Coturnix japonica: one gene and its partner. The protein of the gene in region 1 purifies or fractionates together with the protein of each later gene. This does not show direct contact. Links are inferred from orthologs where the notes say so. Each region holds a gene or a part of one and is shown on either strand. Other genes may lie near its edges.

Region 1 (4,402 bases):
ATAAACAAGGGATGAAATTCTCGGTGACAGAACTGAAGATCAAAGACAACCAACAAAACAGCGGAGCACAATACTCCAACTCTTTAGTGCATATATTAATTTGAAAGCAACGCATAATGCTAATTTGGTCTTCCTTGGTAGAAAAAACACAAAGCCACCCTTCTGGAGCTTCCCTCTCAGTCTCAAACAGAATAAAAGGCAATTGTTGAATGATATGCAAGAGCCACCTCTGGCTATACATTCAGAAATGGACTGCTGCAGGGTTTACCAGCTACTGGGAAGCAGAATAATTATTTCATTGTGTTATGCTTGCTGCTCCTATCTTGAGATGCTAAATTATTACAGTGCTTGTCATTTAATGTAGTAGAAAATAATACTAAAAATTTGCATGATAAAGCACTTCTGCAACATAACACACAGAACAGTTTGAAGAACAGGCCATCAGAAACTCTCTTGACCTAAACGCATTTACACCTTACCTGTTTTAACTTCAACTTCACATCTTCAAGACCACCAATCTGCTCCCAAGTGACGGGTTTACATTCTTTGAGTCCAATTGCACTTCGAAAAGAGGATGGCTGAATTCTTTTAAAAGCTTCTTGGAAATCTGACATGTTAATCAGCACTTCAGCTGAATCCTGAAGGAAAACACAGTGTATTAGCCACATTTTCACATCATAAATTATAAAGCTTTATTAGCACATAAAACGCTTCACAAAAGGCCAAAGACAGCCATAATCACTAAACTTCCCACCCTAACAAGCTCCAACAGTGTATACACAAAGATGTAACAAGACAGAATATACACTCTTTGTGGCAAGATCTTATAAGGAAAGAACAATTTTATCAGACTTGTGTGTTCGACAGAAAATTACTTTTCTCCCTAAATCACAGCTCCAACTAAGTTAAACAGATGCTAATTCAGGGTTACTACACACGAATTCCCATATTCTTTTAAATAATCAAAAAGGTCCAACATTCATAACCCTCAAGCAGACTGCAAGTTCCAATCTTAAATGACAGATGCAATAACAGAAGTATTGTGATATGCTTTACCAAGGAGCTTGCAGTTCTCGTGGCAAACAGCCCATCTACTTGTTGATTATTTTTATTTGCCCATCTCTGTCTTCCCAGGATACCAGGCTCAAATTATTTCACTATTTTCAATTACATTTACAACACTTTAACTTCTGAATTCCTCATCTTGTTCAGATTTTCAAGTAAAACTAAGTGCTAATGGAGAAAGGGTGTTAGATAATAACCATGACTTTCATCTTTATTTACAACCATACCAAGGAGCTGTGGAACACAGCCTGCATGGCAGCTTCTCTGCAGAGCGCTGTAAGGTCAGCTCCAACGTACCCAGTTGTCATCTCTGCCAGTTTAACCAAATCAATGTCTGCAGAAATGGGCATGCTACAGGTGAGCATCTGCAGGATGGATCTCCTCTGCGTAAGCGTCGGGGTCCCAATAATAACCTGATCCAAAGAAGATGAAATTTTCAATAGTTACTTCACCATATTCCTGTCATTTTGTCAACCTGGCCACGCAAATTTGTCTCCACTTTAAACCAACTACTAAGGATTTATACATACTTACATTACAACCAAAGAATTTAGGAGAAGCTTAATAATAGATTACAGATATTTAAAGCATCTTTAATTTATGCCTACTTTCCAAGTGAATAGTTGTATAATCAGTTGTTCATAAGACACTATGAGTTACTGTCCATCGAATCCTGTTTTAAGGTAATAGAAACATCTGACTTAGCAATTAGGTTATTATTTCATTGTTCTCAAAGGCTGAATTAGATAACAGGTTTATTTAATTGAACACGTTCTGTAAAACACAAGCCAAGAGCAAAAGCATCTTCAAGGTTGACTATGTGAACTGCGGGCTTGTCTTTACTAACCAGCCCCATGACACCTCCCTTAAACAGGAAGAAAAGAGGACTGAGCACGGACAGCAATGTCTGCTTACTTCTCTGTCAAACCTGCCTGGTCTTCTCAGTGCGGGATCCAAGGCGTCAGGCCTGTTTGTCGCTGCCACAACGACCATCCTGTCCTTACGACCGACACCATCCAGCAGCGTTAGCAGCTGAGCCACAAGGCGATCCTCAGGAGCGCTGTTGGAACTCCCTCGTTTTGGGCACAAAGCGTCGATCTCATCAATAAACAGAAGCGTGGGCCCTTCCCAGGACATCTCCCTGCCCTTCTCAAAGACACGTCGCAAATTCTCTTCGCTTTCCCCCGGCCTGGAGCCGCACAGCGCCGGGCCGCTGATGCACAGCAGATCCGCACCCACATCTCTCGCCACCGCCTTCACCAGGAGCGTTTTCCCCACGCCTGGAGGGCCCACCAGCAGCACCCCATTGGGGACGGGAAGCCCCAACTTGTTAAACGTCCTTGGGAAGCGGAACGGCAGGTCCACCATTTCTATCAGAGACTCCCTCACATCGTCCAGCCCAGCCACAGGAATTTTTGCTGTCTCTTCCGTTAAGAGCCTGTACCGTTCTAACGCCATCACCTCTTTAATCGTTACATTTGTCTGCGAGGTTATCAGCCCGGCCTCCTCAGTCGCGGGCTCTACAGACAGGATCTCTATGTGCACCACGGGAGTGCGGACATTAGGGCCGACGGTAACAACGTAGTGAGGGGAGACGTAGAGGTTGCTCAGCAGGTCCCGCACCGCCTCCTGCAGCCCCGCAGCCCGCCTGGCTGCCCCGCCCCGCAGCACCACACGCACCGCAGCTCCCCGCAGGCGGCGGGCGGACAGCGGCTGGAAGCAGCCGGGGCTCAGCGACAGCTCGCGCAGCGCTGCCAATGTCAGCCCGGTGCTACAGGCCGGGTCCGCCTGCACGTACCCGTCCGCCAGGTCCGGCCGCGGCCACGCGGTGCACAGACAGCACCCGGATGGCAGCGAGATCCGCAGCGGAGCGCCCAGCACGACCCCGAGGGACGAGAGGGCGGCGGGGCCCAGCCGGCACCGCTGCGTGCCCTCATCCCTCGGGTCCGGAGGGAGCAGCCTGAGGGACACGGGATCCATGGCGGCACGAGCACGCGCCAACAACCGCCACGAAGGGCGCAGCCGCGGCCCCGCCTCCCAGCACACAGAGTCACAGAGTGACCCGGGTTGGAAGGGACCTCAAGGATCATGTAGTTCCAACCCCCTGCCCGGCAGGGCCACCAAACATACACCTTTACTAGATCAGGTTGCCCAGGGCCCCGTCCAACCTGGCCTTGAGCACCTCCAAGGACGGGGCATCCACAACCAACCCTCGCACCTCCCCGCCTCCCCTCACACATCCCCGCCTCCACGGAGCACTTGGGAGCCGCCTCCTTCCCGAGAGCCCTGCCCGGCGTTACCTTCACAGTAGCGTACGAACCTGCTGGGCTGAGAGAGAAAAGCATCATCGCCAGTGAAATCTGCAGTGTGCGTGATTTCAGTCCAGCGAGTAGCTTAATTGTGAGTAAAGTAATACGCACAGACTCCAATTGAGACCCCACACACTGTGATCACACGGGGCAGGGAGGGATGCCCTGCAGGACAGGGCTGTCAAGGTGTGTTCCGAAGGCTCCTGCAGAAAAGCATAAGGAAATCCTTCTGACGGTGTCCTTTACCATGGCCCTGTGTGAGCCAGTACAGAACAGTAACCAGTACAAACAAAAAGAGGCAATCTGAATGTTGTTAGCTCAGCTAGTTCTAAATACTTCATAGGAACTCATTATAAGGAAGCAGAGCCCAGAAATCATTAATACAGCTTTTTGAAAGTGTGAAAAATCGCCTTGTTTTGTTTTGTTCTGGTAGGATGAAAACCTTATTTAAGAATTTTTATGGGATGCACTGCTGAGTGGCTGCCCTGGATTGGAATGTGTACCTTTGAGTAGCCATCGCTCCCAGAACTTTTACACACCCCAAATTCACTCCTGACAAACAGATCTACCACCAAAAATCTAGTTTAAACTGTCAGTCACCCCCCAAAATCAACAAGAAGACCAAAAGCAAAACAAAACCCAACACGATTTTCACGACATTCACTAGATGGCAGCTGATCTTCAAGAATGACTCGTTTCTCCTTGCAGATCCAACAGATCCAAGGGAGCAGTCATCAGCAATTAGAGAAATCGAATGCTGCCCATCATTGTCTTTGCTGTGTTTCAAATATCACACTGAAAATCCAGAACAGTGAGTGTTCAGATCATTTCCATCTTCATTTCCCTGTTTTTCTTTTAATGTTCAGTTTCTTTCTGCTAATTTATGGGGAGGAGTGTTCCCTTATTGTTTGCTTTCATACTTCATGGAGCTTCTCTGGCAAAATGTAAATGCTATATTGTACCTATGCCAGATATTGCACATTTAAAACACCACGTTCCATTATAATAGAACTTCATGGATAAATTGT
Region 2 (2,865 bases), on another chromosome or scaffold:
CTGCCCCCCAGAACGTGTGAGAACCTTTTTCTTTTGTGCACTAAGAAGATCCAATGCTGTGTGCCAACACTGTGTGTTGTGAGCACTCGAGGCACTTCTCTCCCTTCCTTAAGCCATTCATTCTCTATTTTCTTTTTACAATCTCTGTGAATCCGTGTTCCATTCTGGATTTCATTGCCACTGTTGGGTCCAAACCACGAGCCCTGTGCACGCAGGGGGTGGAGCTTTGTTGTAACCCAGTGAGTGGAAGGTGGGACCGTGATTGCATTATTGGATTCCTGTTGGAGCTGACAAATGGGAGGTGGCCGTTTGTCCAATGTCTGACATGGCCTGGGAAACAGAATTTTGAATTGCCCTTCAATGTGCTTAGCTTTAAACCACTTTAAATAATTTAAGTGTTTGTTTTTTTTATACAAATCATATTTACATGCAATTATCATTTGTAAGCGTAATGCCTTCCTTGAAATGCTAACGGCTACAGCGTGAATGGGGCAAATGGCTCCATTCAGAACCACACGAGCAGCAGGTGACGCTCAGTAACTGGACGCTCAGTGCAGGGGGTGGCGGATGGACCCACGTTTCCCTGTTTATTGTTATCAAAGCGATGATCCTTTGTAAGGTAAATGCTGCTGTGCATCAGCTGCCCACGTTCATCACACTAAAACCATGAGCAATAACCCATCTCAAAGCAAGGTCAGGCCACAATGCTGTACAGCTGGGCGGGCTGTTCAACCCTGTTCATAACAATGACGGTGATGCCTCGTGATCCAGTTGTGGGTTTGGTTCTGCATCCCCACGCAGTTCAAAACGCTCATTCTATTTAATGGCAGGAATAGTGATGCAGTGTGTGAATATGATGGGAGCGTTCCATGCAGCTCATGGTGCTGCATCGTGCTCTGGGCGTTACCATTTCACATCGTTGTGGGATTATTTTCTTTCTTTCTCTTTAGGATATGCATGCCAAACGTCGTGTCTTTTACAATGATTTGTAATATACATTTTAAGACTGGAAACTTTTTGTACAACACACTCAAATAAATGTTTTGCATTTTATTGGTTTCCTTTTGTCTGATCAATGATGAGGGAGGGGGGGCTGGAAAGGGGCCTTGTGCTGATGGACAGTGATGGACATGGGCTGAATGGGAGCCAGCACTGCGTCCAGGTGCCCGAGGGGACAAATGGCGGCCGGGCTGTTGTCAGCGATGGGAGCAGGACTGAGACTGAGCCCCGGGCGCTGCTGGGCGCTGCTCACACCGAGCACCGCGAGCTGCGACCCGCGGCCACGCGGTGCCGCCCAGCTCAGCTCCGCGCTGCCGCCGCGGGGACGCGCACGGCCGCTGTTCCGGTCCGTTCCTGTCCGTTCTGTTCCGTTCCGTTCTGTTCCGGTCTGTTCCGGTCCGATCTGTTCCGTTCCGTTCTGTTCCGTTCCGGGCCACGCGGGGCGCCGGGAGCCGTAGTTCTTGGGCCGCCATTGCGCTGCCGCCCCGCCGGGACCGCGAGCCATGGAGGGCGGCTTCGGCTCCGACTTCGGTTCCGATTTCGGCTCCGGTGCCGGCGGGGGAGGCAAGTTGGACCCGGGGCTCATCATGGAGCAGGTGAAGGTGCAGATCGCCGTGGCCAACGCGCAGGAGCTGCTGCAGGTCGGGACCGGCGGGGACGGAGCCGCGGCAGCACGGGGGGGGGGGGGGGGGGGGGGGGGGGGGGGGGGCTGGGGGTCGTTGTGCCCGCGGCTGCTGACGGCTGTTCCCGCAGCGAATGACGGACAAATGCTTTCGGAAATGCATCGGGAAACCCGGCGGGGCGCTGGACAACTCGGAGCAGGTGAGCGGGGCGGGGGGACGCGGCGCGGGGCGGGCGGCGACCCCCGGGATCCTCCATGACCGCCCCGTGTGCCGCAGAAATGCATCGCCATGTGCATGGACCGGTACATGGACGCCTGGAACGCGGTGTCCAGAGCCTACAACTCCCGGCTGCAGCGGGAGAGAGCCAACATGTGAAAGACAACATGTGAGAGAGAGAGATAACATGTGAGAGAGCCGACATGGGAGAGAGAGAGATAACATGTGAGAGAGACAACATGGGAGAGACCAACATGTGAGACGGGTCGGAGCGCGGAGCCGGCGGCAATAAACCCCGTTACACCGCCCTGACCCTGCGCTGCCTCCGGCTTTTATTGCACCGAGAGGTTCCGCCCTGAGCCCGGTGCCGGGTGATGGGCGCAGTGTGGGGGGGGGGCAGGGCTTCCTGCCGGCTGCACCGAGTTCAGGCCGGGAAGGGCAGCTGTTAATGCACAGGATGTCGCCAGGTCTGAAGGTGGGACAAGTCTCATTTATTTATAGACAAAAACCAAAGTCTAGCCATCTTTCTAAGCAAAGCAGTTATCAGATGGTCCCGCTGTCTGCGGGTCACAGCACACGAGCGTTTGCTTCGTGCTCGCAGCCCATCTTCACTCCTTTGCAGCATCCCAGAGGTGTCCGGTGGTGCTGGTGGGCTCCGTGCGGCCCCTGGCCATTATTCCTCTCGTTGGCACCTTCCCTGAGTGGTGAAATTCAGCTCCAGAGCTTGAGGTTCTGCGCGATCCAGCCCTGCACCGCGGTGACTTTGGTGTAGACCCCAGGGAAGAACGGCCGGGCGCAGCCATAGCCCCAGCTCGTGATTCCTGCTAGAAACCACCGTCCTGAGGGTTCTTTACATGCCAGGGGCCCACCTGCATCACCCTGCAGAGAGAGGGGAAGGGTCCTGTACCAAAACAAGACAACAGAGCCAGCCCAGCCCCGTGCTTATGATTCTGCTGTCTGATGCAGGAACATTTGCTGTCCCGTTGCCCACCTCTGCAGGAGCCCAGTGCTGCATTTGTGTGCACAG

What was found.
Region 2: the proteins of SPATA5L1 (region 1) and TIMM13 purify together in Homo sapiens (co-immunoprecipitation; 3 studies listed by BioGRID and IntAct, with this or other methods). This does not show direct contact. The link is inferred for Coturnix japonica from reciprocal best matches to the Homo sapiens genes AFG2B and TIMM13.

Annotation. Positions count from the first base shown.
Region 1 is NC_029525.1:9,451,041-9,455,442, reverse strand, and holds the start of SPATA5L1 (spermatogenesis-associated protein 5-like protein 1), read right to left. Parts: upstream 3,095-4,402; 5' UTR 3,046-3,094; coding exon 1,981-3,045; intron 1,479-1,980; coding exon 1,293-1,478; intron 639-1,292; coding exon 480-638; intron 1-479. UniProt on the Homo sapiens protein: ATP-dependent chaperone part of the 55LCC heterohexameric ATPase complex which is chromatin-associated and promotes replisome proteostasis to maintain replication fork progression and genome stability.
Region 2 is NC_029543.1:222,347-225,211, reverse strand, and holds TIMM13 (mitochondrial import inner membrane translocase subunit Tim13), read left to right. Parts: upstream 1-1,403; 5' UTR 1,404-1,502; coding exon 1,503-1,640; intron 1,641-1,752; coding exon 1,753-1,821; intron 1,822-1,898; coding exon 1,899-1,997; 3' UTR 1,998-2,150; downstream 2,151-2,865. UniProt on the Homo sapiens protein: Mitochondrial intermembrane chaperone that participates in the import and insertion of some multi-pass transmembrane proteins into the mitochondrial inner membrane.